Linked DNA regions of Caenorhabditis elegans. The protein of the gene in region 1 interacts with the protein of each later gene in a pairwise test. Each region holds a gene or a part of one and is shown on either strand. Other genes may lie near its edges. The genes, in order: rol-8 and klp-15.

Evidence for each region.
Region 2: the proteins of rol-8 (region 1) and klp-15 interact in a two-hybrid assay, tested with the Caenorhabditis elegans proteins (one large-scale study listed by BioGRID).

Annotation. Positions count from the first base shown.
Region 1 is NC_003280.10:7,542,501-7,546,103, reverse strand, and holds rol-8 (Cuticle collagen 6), read right to left. Parts: upstream 1,997-3,603; 5' UTR 1,971-1,996; coding exon 1,803-1,970; intron 1,717-1,802; coding exon 921-1,716; intron 871-920; coding exon 845-870; 3' UTR 769-844; downstream 1-768. Other genes in the region: nfi-1 (Nuclear factor I family protein), read right to left, coding at 3,566-3,603. UniProt on the Caenorhabditis elegans protein: Nematode cuticles are composed largely of collagen-like proteins. The cuticle functions both as an exoskeleton and as a barrier to protect the worm from its environment.
Region 2 is NC_003279.8:5,576,481-5,581,331, reverse strand, and holds klp-15 (Kinesin motor domain-containing protein), read left to right. Parts: upstream 1-2,137; 5' UTR 2,138-2,150; coding exon 2,151-2,304; intron 2,305-2,435; coding exon 2,436-3,223; intron 3,224-3,270; coding exon 3,271-3,706; intron 3,707-3,753; coding exon 3,754-4,139; 3' UTR 4,140-4,262; downstream 4,263-4,851. Other genes in the region: ctnb-1 (Beta-catenin-like protein 1 N-terminal domain-containing protein), read right to left, coding at 1-46, 298-542, 606-714, 759-962, 1,007-1,567, 1,610-1,666; rmh-1 (RecQ-mediated genome instability protein 1 homolog), read right to left, coding at 4,695-4,851.

The DNA.
Region 1 (3,603 bases):
CTCTCATTTTATCGGGTTACAATGGTTTTGGTGCCAATGAGTATTTGCCGTATAGAAATAAACTTCCAAAATACATAATTTTCATTTATAAGTCTGAGTCTACGTTGCTCTGCGATTGTTTCACAACGCTCAGAGCAGTACGTTTTTTTCACGATTTGAATTTCATTTTAGATTAATTATTCCAAAACTATTCCACAACAAAAATGGATCTTACAGTAAACATTATGAGAAAGTTAGGCGATGGTAATATTATTTATTGGCATTCCGATGTGATTATGTTTTGTTAATTGTTTGAACTAATAAATACGAGCGATCGCAACCATAGAATTCTAAAAATATTACCTAATTTTCTTACAATCCGCTTTTCTTCACTCTTCTTACACTTTCCACAATCCTCATTGCTTCTTCATTCTTTTATCATTGTCAGCACCTCATTTATAATCCGTGGATCCCGGACATCATCACGATACTCATCTATCCAGCTACGTTCCATTGTATCTCTGTCTGCTTGTCGAGTTTTTTGTCTTTTCATCTTTCCCCATCCTTTCTCCTTTAATGACTGCGCCGCGGCGCCGTATTCCAAAACTGATTATCCATGTTCGTTTGAGGGGGGAGTAGATAAGAAAGGAAAGGGAGACAGCGAGCGGAGGAAAACTTGGTAACAACAGCTGAATTTCGATTTTTGTTGGCTTCTACGCCCGGATACAGCGCACATTCCTTTCAATGTCCAGAATGTATTCGTTCACAAGAGACAAAAAATACGGAATTATTGCGAAAAAATTTATTTTTGATACGAAAAAAAGACACCCGAAACGGGCGAAATTGATCATGAAGTGGATGGTGATTAGTAGCCTGGTGGGGTACGCGGTGCTGAAAACAACAGAATTTATAGATTTTGAAAAATGTAAAAGGAAGCTTACGTGGGCAATGTCCACAGTCTCCCTTCTCTCCATTGTCTCCTGGTGGTCCAGCTGGTCCATTTGGTCCGGCGCGACCTTCGTGTCCTGGAGTTCCTGAGTCTCCTGGTGGTCCTGGTGGTCCTTGGTAGGATTGCCCGTCTGGTCCTGGGTTTCCTTTCGGTCCTGGTGGTCCGATTGGTCCTGGCTTTCCTGGTGCTCCTTGTGGTCCTGGCACCGGAATGAGGCGTCCAGCGGCTCCTGGCGCTCCCTTCATTCCGTCGCGTCCTGGTCTTCCAATTGGTCCTGGTTGTCCAGCCATACCATCGTCTCCAGACTTTCCGTCTTGTGGTGGCTCTCCTGGAGATCCCTTTGGTCCTGGTGGTCCCTTTGGTCCCATAGCTCCCATTGGTCCTGGAGCTCCAGTTGGGCAGATGATACATGGCTCGGAAGCTGGAGCTGGAAGAACCTCAGCATCTCTACCGTTCTTTCCATCATTTCCGTTTCTTCCATCCTTTCCATCATTTCCTGGTGGTCCTTCTGGTCCTGGTGGCCCAGCGGCTCCCTGGTTACATGTGCAGCAGACAGCTGCTGGCTCGGCGTTAACAGCGGCTCCGTATCCTCCATATCCAGCGGTGTTGGCACCACCACCGGTAGAGGCTCCGGATCCATAGTTTCCACCTCCGTTTCCAGATCCACCTCCTCCAGCGGAAGTCTCTGGGATCCATTGTCCGAAGAGCCAGGCTCTCTTCATACGATGTCCCATTCCCTTTCCAGCTTGAAGAGCTGTCATCTCGAGCCACATGTCACGAGAACGAGCCTATAGTAAGAAAGAAATAAAGTAGAAAATATAGAAGGAGAAATTGAAAAAAAGAAACTAATGAAAAAAGAATGAAATGAATTTACCTTGCAGTAATCGGTTTCGACCATAAGATGAGATTGGAACGACTGAACATAATTATAGAGCATTGGAAGTGTTACAACAGATGCAATTACAGCAGCAGTGGATACAACAACGGCAACAAAAGCGATGCGACGCATCTGCCGTTGCTCTTCTGTCTCTTTAACGTCCATATCTGCTTGATTGGCCGATCGGATCTTCTGCTCGTTCTCCTTCTTCTCCTTATGTAGGCGCCCCCCAAGAACTGGATAACTTGGGCGCCAAGTCCCGCCTTTCTGTGTCTTTTTGAATGAGAGAGACCGTTGTTGCGGCGCAGAGGGCCTCCGTATACAAGGACGATAACCGATTCAACCTAGGAAGAATGAGAGAAAGATACATCGAGATCCGTGTGTGTACACCTGCCATCAAATAAAGAGGTGTGAGGGACGAGTAATACTTTCATGAAAAGTTTAAAAGTTGCAATTTGCAAGTTATTCCAGAGTTCCATGAAAATCCAATCTCGATCAGAACAAGACGGTATCTGAAAAACTGAGCTTTCAAGCTGCTGATAATATGTGTTAAAATTTCTAATTGTGTAAACTTCTGAATGTCTCGAAACGACACATTTTTGTGAAATGCAATAATGCTAGTAACTTAAATTCCTCTAAAGAAATTTCAAGCGATTTTTATAGTCTTTATCCTGATTTGTTAAAATTCATACGCATAGGCTTTTGTATTTTTTTCGTGTCGAGACCGGGTACAGTAATTTTTGCCAAAATACAGTACATGGTCTCGACACGACTGAAACTTTGTAGTTACCGTATCCAGATGTTTTTCTTTCAAAAAACTTTAGTTTGCTCGTTACCAAAATTTAAATCAGAAAAACACCAAAAATTCCTAGAATAATATTAAGAAAACGCCAAAAAATTTTGTTTTGCCAATGTTTTGCCGTTGTTACGGTAGCTGCAAAGTTTCAATCGTTCCAAGACCTGGTAGTGTTTGTACAATTGCTAAATTTTGTAATAATATCTGTAAAAAAGATACCCAACTCTTCGAACTTACTGGAATCTTTTCCATCAATACATCTTCTTTTTTGTCTATCCAGTCTCTATCATTCATCTAATTGGATAAGTATGTCACTTGATTAACTGGTAAGCTGTTGTTATCATCTTCGTTTGTTTCCAGGAAGGAGACTGATAAACAAGTTTCACCCGATAAACCTATTTTCTTTTCTTCAGCTACTAACTAACTATATCATTTTTCTTTATTGATGATATGATATTCCAATTTCTTTTGAATCTATGTTGTGCTTCACGACTTGATAAAAATTCAAGATTCATTAAAATACGTTTTAAAAATTAAATAATCTGAACTACCCACACAAGAAATGCAAACATGAGGTTCAAATACGCAAAAAAAACATAAAAGGAAAACACTGGGAAACTGGAAGTGGTGATTACAATTGTGCATAGCTACGACGTTTTTTCAAAGTTTTTCAGATTTACAAGATAAAGAGGTGACGGTGAAGAAAAGAAAAGGGAAAATGTGTGGCCCCGTAAACAATTGATTTTTTTGTGGATTTTGGTTTTCAAAAGAGGTTCGGAAAAATAGATTATGACGTCACAGACGGAGAAAATGTTTTGAAGATTGAAGAAAAATGAAAATAATAAAAATAACAACTAGTTTGAATAATACTAAAGAAGGACTAGGTTTGATAACTCTAATTTTTCAATTGGTAACACGAAAGGGATAAATAAAACGAATAAAAAGATTAACAGGAATATCAAAATCATTTTTTCTCATTACGAAGAGCATGTGAAAAGTCAG
Region 2 (4,851 bases), on another chromosome or scaffold:
GTTGACGGTGGTTCTCCGAACATGCTGCCAGCAGTGAAGAGAGAATCTAAAAAATTATTATTTATCATCAAAAGAACATTTCCTACAATATAAATTAGTCACTTTTTGTAAAATGTAATTCGTAGAAATAGATTTTTCGATTTTTAATTTAATTATATGTTCGATAAGTATCAAAAAGTGCAAGGCAGATTTGAAAACTCAATTTTTGTTCAAAAAAGGAGAAAAACCGAAAGTCCGATTTACCAGTCCAATTTTGAAGCTAAAACATTCAAAATAATATCACAACATAAATCTTACCGTACAAACGTGTTCTTCATGTTCATCAGGTGTCGTATCCTTTCTTTTTGTCTTTGAAGGTGTTCTCATGAATAACGGGAAAATTGTTCTCAATCCGAGCATTTCGACAAGTTTATTGCAATTTTCGATTCCCTCGTCTCCTGATGTTGCATGGTTCAGAACTTTCAGAGCACTTTGTCTTGCTTGTTTCTTCTCTCGGAGCATCAAATTCATCAATTGAAGACCTTCTCCGTCGAGGAACTTTTCTGAAAACATTTATTTTGAACAAGAGCAATTTTTTTGGTGTTTATATTCAAAAAAATTCGTACTTCGATTAGCCGGATGCATAAGTGCGGCACAAAGTGAGTTGAATAGATTTTCCATGTATTCTCGTTCGTCTACATTTGCTGGATCGTTCTTTTTGTACACAGCAATGGTCTTAAAAGTTCAATTTATTCTTGATACTTTGTTTGGCTACTCACTCTCAATAAAATATCGATGCCATCAATTTTCTCTGTCAGCTTTGCCTTTGCAGTATCAGAAGTCTGCAATATGACTGAAAGAAGTTCCGAAGCGTACATCTTATTCGCATCAAATGCACCTTTCTGAAAGCATCTTTTCAGAAGCCAAACCGTGAATCCGTGCTTTACGCATTCTTCAGTAATGTCATCGCGGAAACCAATCATCTGAAAATATATTGTTTTGTTTTTCAAATATCGATTTTTCTTACATTGTCCACAACTCCGAGTGCATTATGGACGCCATCCGCTTCATCTTTGACGCTTTCATCGAGCCTCTCTACGCATGCTAACAAAGTTGTGATAATCGATCCAGACACAAGACTTTCAATAAGTTCAGCTGCTCCATCTTCTCCTTCGTTCATCACATCATCGTCTGTAAGTTCTCTCAAGAGACTAAGTGTTGCACACACAATATCAGTATTCTCGTGTCCTAATAATTGAAGAAGAATTTCAACTCCGTTGACTTCAACAAACGATCCATAAAGGTCTGGTTGAGAAGCCAGACTATGCATTTCTTGAATTGCCTTGTCTAATTCAATTTCCGATTCCATGAATTTCTGAGCATCATCTGGATTTTTAACTCTTTGTTCTCGATTTAATCGCATCTTTTTGTCAAGTTGAATAACAAGTTTCTTAACTTGCACATCGTCGAGAGCCACATAATTTGATTGATCGGCTTCCAAAGCCGCAAGAATATCTTCTGGTTTTGGCTGGCCAGCTTGAGATGAAGAAGAAGCACTATCGTCAAAACGAGATTTCTTTCTTGCTGGCTGTAAACTATTTATAATCAAAAAAATTTAATATCAATTTACCTGATACAAAGAAGATGTCGATGATTTGATAATCTCTGTTACATCGATAGAAGTCATCTGGAAACAATCATTTACCAACCTATATTTTTAAAAAACCACAGAAAAATCAAAATATTGAAGAAAGTGTATAAAAATTTTCGCAAGCAAATATTTTCAAATTTTTTTTTTGCAATTACTTTGGTGTAGATATACGGTAAACAAGGCGCGCACCGGAATATCGGAGTGTCGCTCACATTATAATTTCTAGACCTGCATTTTATATATTTGTTTGTATAACCTGATATCAGTGCAATTATGGATAAGCCTTCTGTGTTATAGTTATAAATAATTTTTACGGCATTCTTTATGCCTTTTGACAACAAAATAATTATATCCGACAATTCTGGATGAGCTCAACATGATATAAATTTTTGATCTAATACCGTAGTTGACTACGGTAATCCATTCGATTTGGCGGGAATTTTCAGAGGCGGAGTTCAACTTTGAGCGGGAAAATGTCAATGAAGGGGCTGATTTCCTCATTTTTGTCCCAAATTTCGCGATGAATGTCGCTCGAAGAAGAAGTGGCCTGTTTCGGTCGACTATCGGAGCAACGCCGAAGATCACAAGAGGACGTGCTGCCGCGCCATCCACCAAAGAAGCCAATTCAACAACAATCCCAAGACAGTCGGCTCCTGGAGGAATAACGATTGGAGGTAAATTTGTCATTTGTGTTTTTAAATAACTTCCTCGTGATTTCAAAGTGTTCACACTTCTAAATAAAACATGTTTTTGTTTTTGTTTAAAACCTTTTTTGTTAACAACTACTTTAATTACGAGTTTTCAGCCGCTGCTCGTCGTCCTCCGTCTCGTTTGCCTACCCCCACAACGCCTGCAACTGGTAGAGCATCGTTGCCAGAACGATCAGCGATGGCCAAACCAGCGTCGTGTTCCCGTCCCATACCAACGATGCAATCCACCGCGAGCCGTATTTCCACACTGACGGCAGCTTCTACGTTTCGACAACTTCGCACAGGTCGTCCACCGCCACCATCCACTCAACGCTCAACTGCGACTTCTTCCCTGAAGCCGTCGGTGACAAGAGCCCGACCAGTGGCACAGAAGCCTATTCTCCCTTCTAAGATGGCGCTTCTTGAAGAGAAAATTGCGCAGCTCGAGAGTGCGATGGCTGAGGCTACCGACTTTGCTGAACATCAGAAGAGCAAGATCCAAATCCTGGATGGCAAACTTGAAGGAGCGGATCGCAAGCTGATTTCACTGCAAGATCAATTGAGCACGCTGAAAGAAGTCAACAAGGCGAAAGTGGAGGAGTGCGAGGATTATCGTGTGCACAACAACGATCTCCGGGATCTGCTCAACGAAAAGGAAGCTGAGTTGAGAAAGTTGCACAACGATGTTGTCGATTTACGCGGTCAAATTCGTGTGGCTGTTCGCGTTCGGCCGTTGATCAAATCTGAAGCCGACGCCTCGAGTTCTGCAATTGAGTATCCGGCTATCGATACCATCAGAATCAATGAAGGCTCGAAGCCTGGAATTGTGGTCAAATTCGAGAAGGTTTTCACGCCAGTCTTCTCGCAGAAGGAAGTGTTCGCGAACGTCGAGGAGTTCATTCGGGTTAGTTTCAAAATATAATATTAATAATTGAAAATTGATAATTTCAGTCGTCACTGCATGGGTACAACGTCGGATTGATTGCCTATGGACAAACCGGAAGTGGCAAAACTCACACGATGCGAGGAGGAAATGGTGAAGAGGAAGGAATCATCCCGAGAGCAGCTGCATTTCTGTTCGCCGAATCCAGAAAGCTCGAGTCACTTGGATGGAAATTCGACTTCTCGTTGTCTTTCCTAGAAGTCTACAACAACGTGGCATACGACCTTCTCAGTGACCGCGCCGTTGTCCAACTTCGTTTGAACGATCAAACGGTTTCCATGATTGGGCTCTCCGAGCACACGATTTCCAATGTCTCGGATGTGGCTAGACTTCTTCGTGTAGCAGACGGTGGCAGGAAGACGGCGGCGACAAAGTGCAATGAGAGCTCGTCTCGTTCGCACGCCGTTTATATGTGGAAGATTACAGCTCATCAGCCATCAACTGGTAACTTTCGAAAATAAAAATAATTAATTCACAATATTGATATACAGGAATTTCAACATCGTGCCAGCTCAAACTTGTGGATCTCGCAGGATCCGAACGTGCCAAGGAGTCTGGTGTCAGTGGCGACCAGTTCAAGGAGATGACTAATATCAACCAGTCGTTGTCTATCCTTCAGATGTGCATCAGCCAGCAAAGATCCCAGAAGGGACATGTTTCATATCGCGACAGCAAACTGACACAAGTGCTGATGGACTGCTTGGGACGTGGCAACTCGAAGACTATGGTTGTGGTCAATCTCAATCCATGCAACGAGCAAGCGACAGAGTCCAAGAGAAGCATCGAATTCGCCTCAAAGATGCGCAGTACTAACATCGGATCGGCCGTGCAGCAACGGACTCTCTTGGGTGACGTGTCCCAGATGTCTATGAACTAGACATATAATTCTATTCTAACATTTCATGTAAAATAACGTTATTTTTATTGCCTTATGCAAACCTTTTATACTGATGTAACCTAAATATTTCGATCATTAACAAAATGAACGAATTTCAATTTTACTTTGCGTTTTTTGAGTTTTAATCGTCTGTTTCAAAACAAAGGGAGATCCCGATAGGAAAAATATAGTCCGGTCTAAATGCTGTTGATTGGGTTATAAATACATTGTTTTGAGCTTTATGAGAATATTACATTTCTTACTGTAGTATGTATGTCTCGACCCGACGAACTTTTGATGAATTCGAAAATGGCATGACCCTTTAAAGAGTACTGTAGTTTCAAACTCTCGTTGTATCGAAAACTGTACAGTTTTCCATACAGTTTGTTTAAATTTATGTTTTTTGTTACATTTCTGTTTTAAAGAAATTTTAACGAAAGAAAAAGCTTAAAACAGTTGTATTGTATTTGGAAACAACAAAAAAACAAGAACAATTAAATAATACATGACTATATTGTGGTACACGTGAATTCAGGTAGCAAGCAATAGAAATAATTACAAAATATTGAGAGCATCAGAAATCGTTTTCACGTCAAGAATGAGCGGAATTTGGTTACGCTCTGGTGAAACCTCAACCCATAAAAGAAGATCAAGACGTTTGAATCCAAGAAGTTTACGTTCGGCTTCGCATTTCTTCGCACGTAGCTCCTCG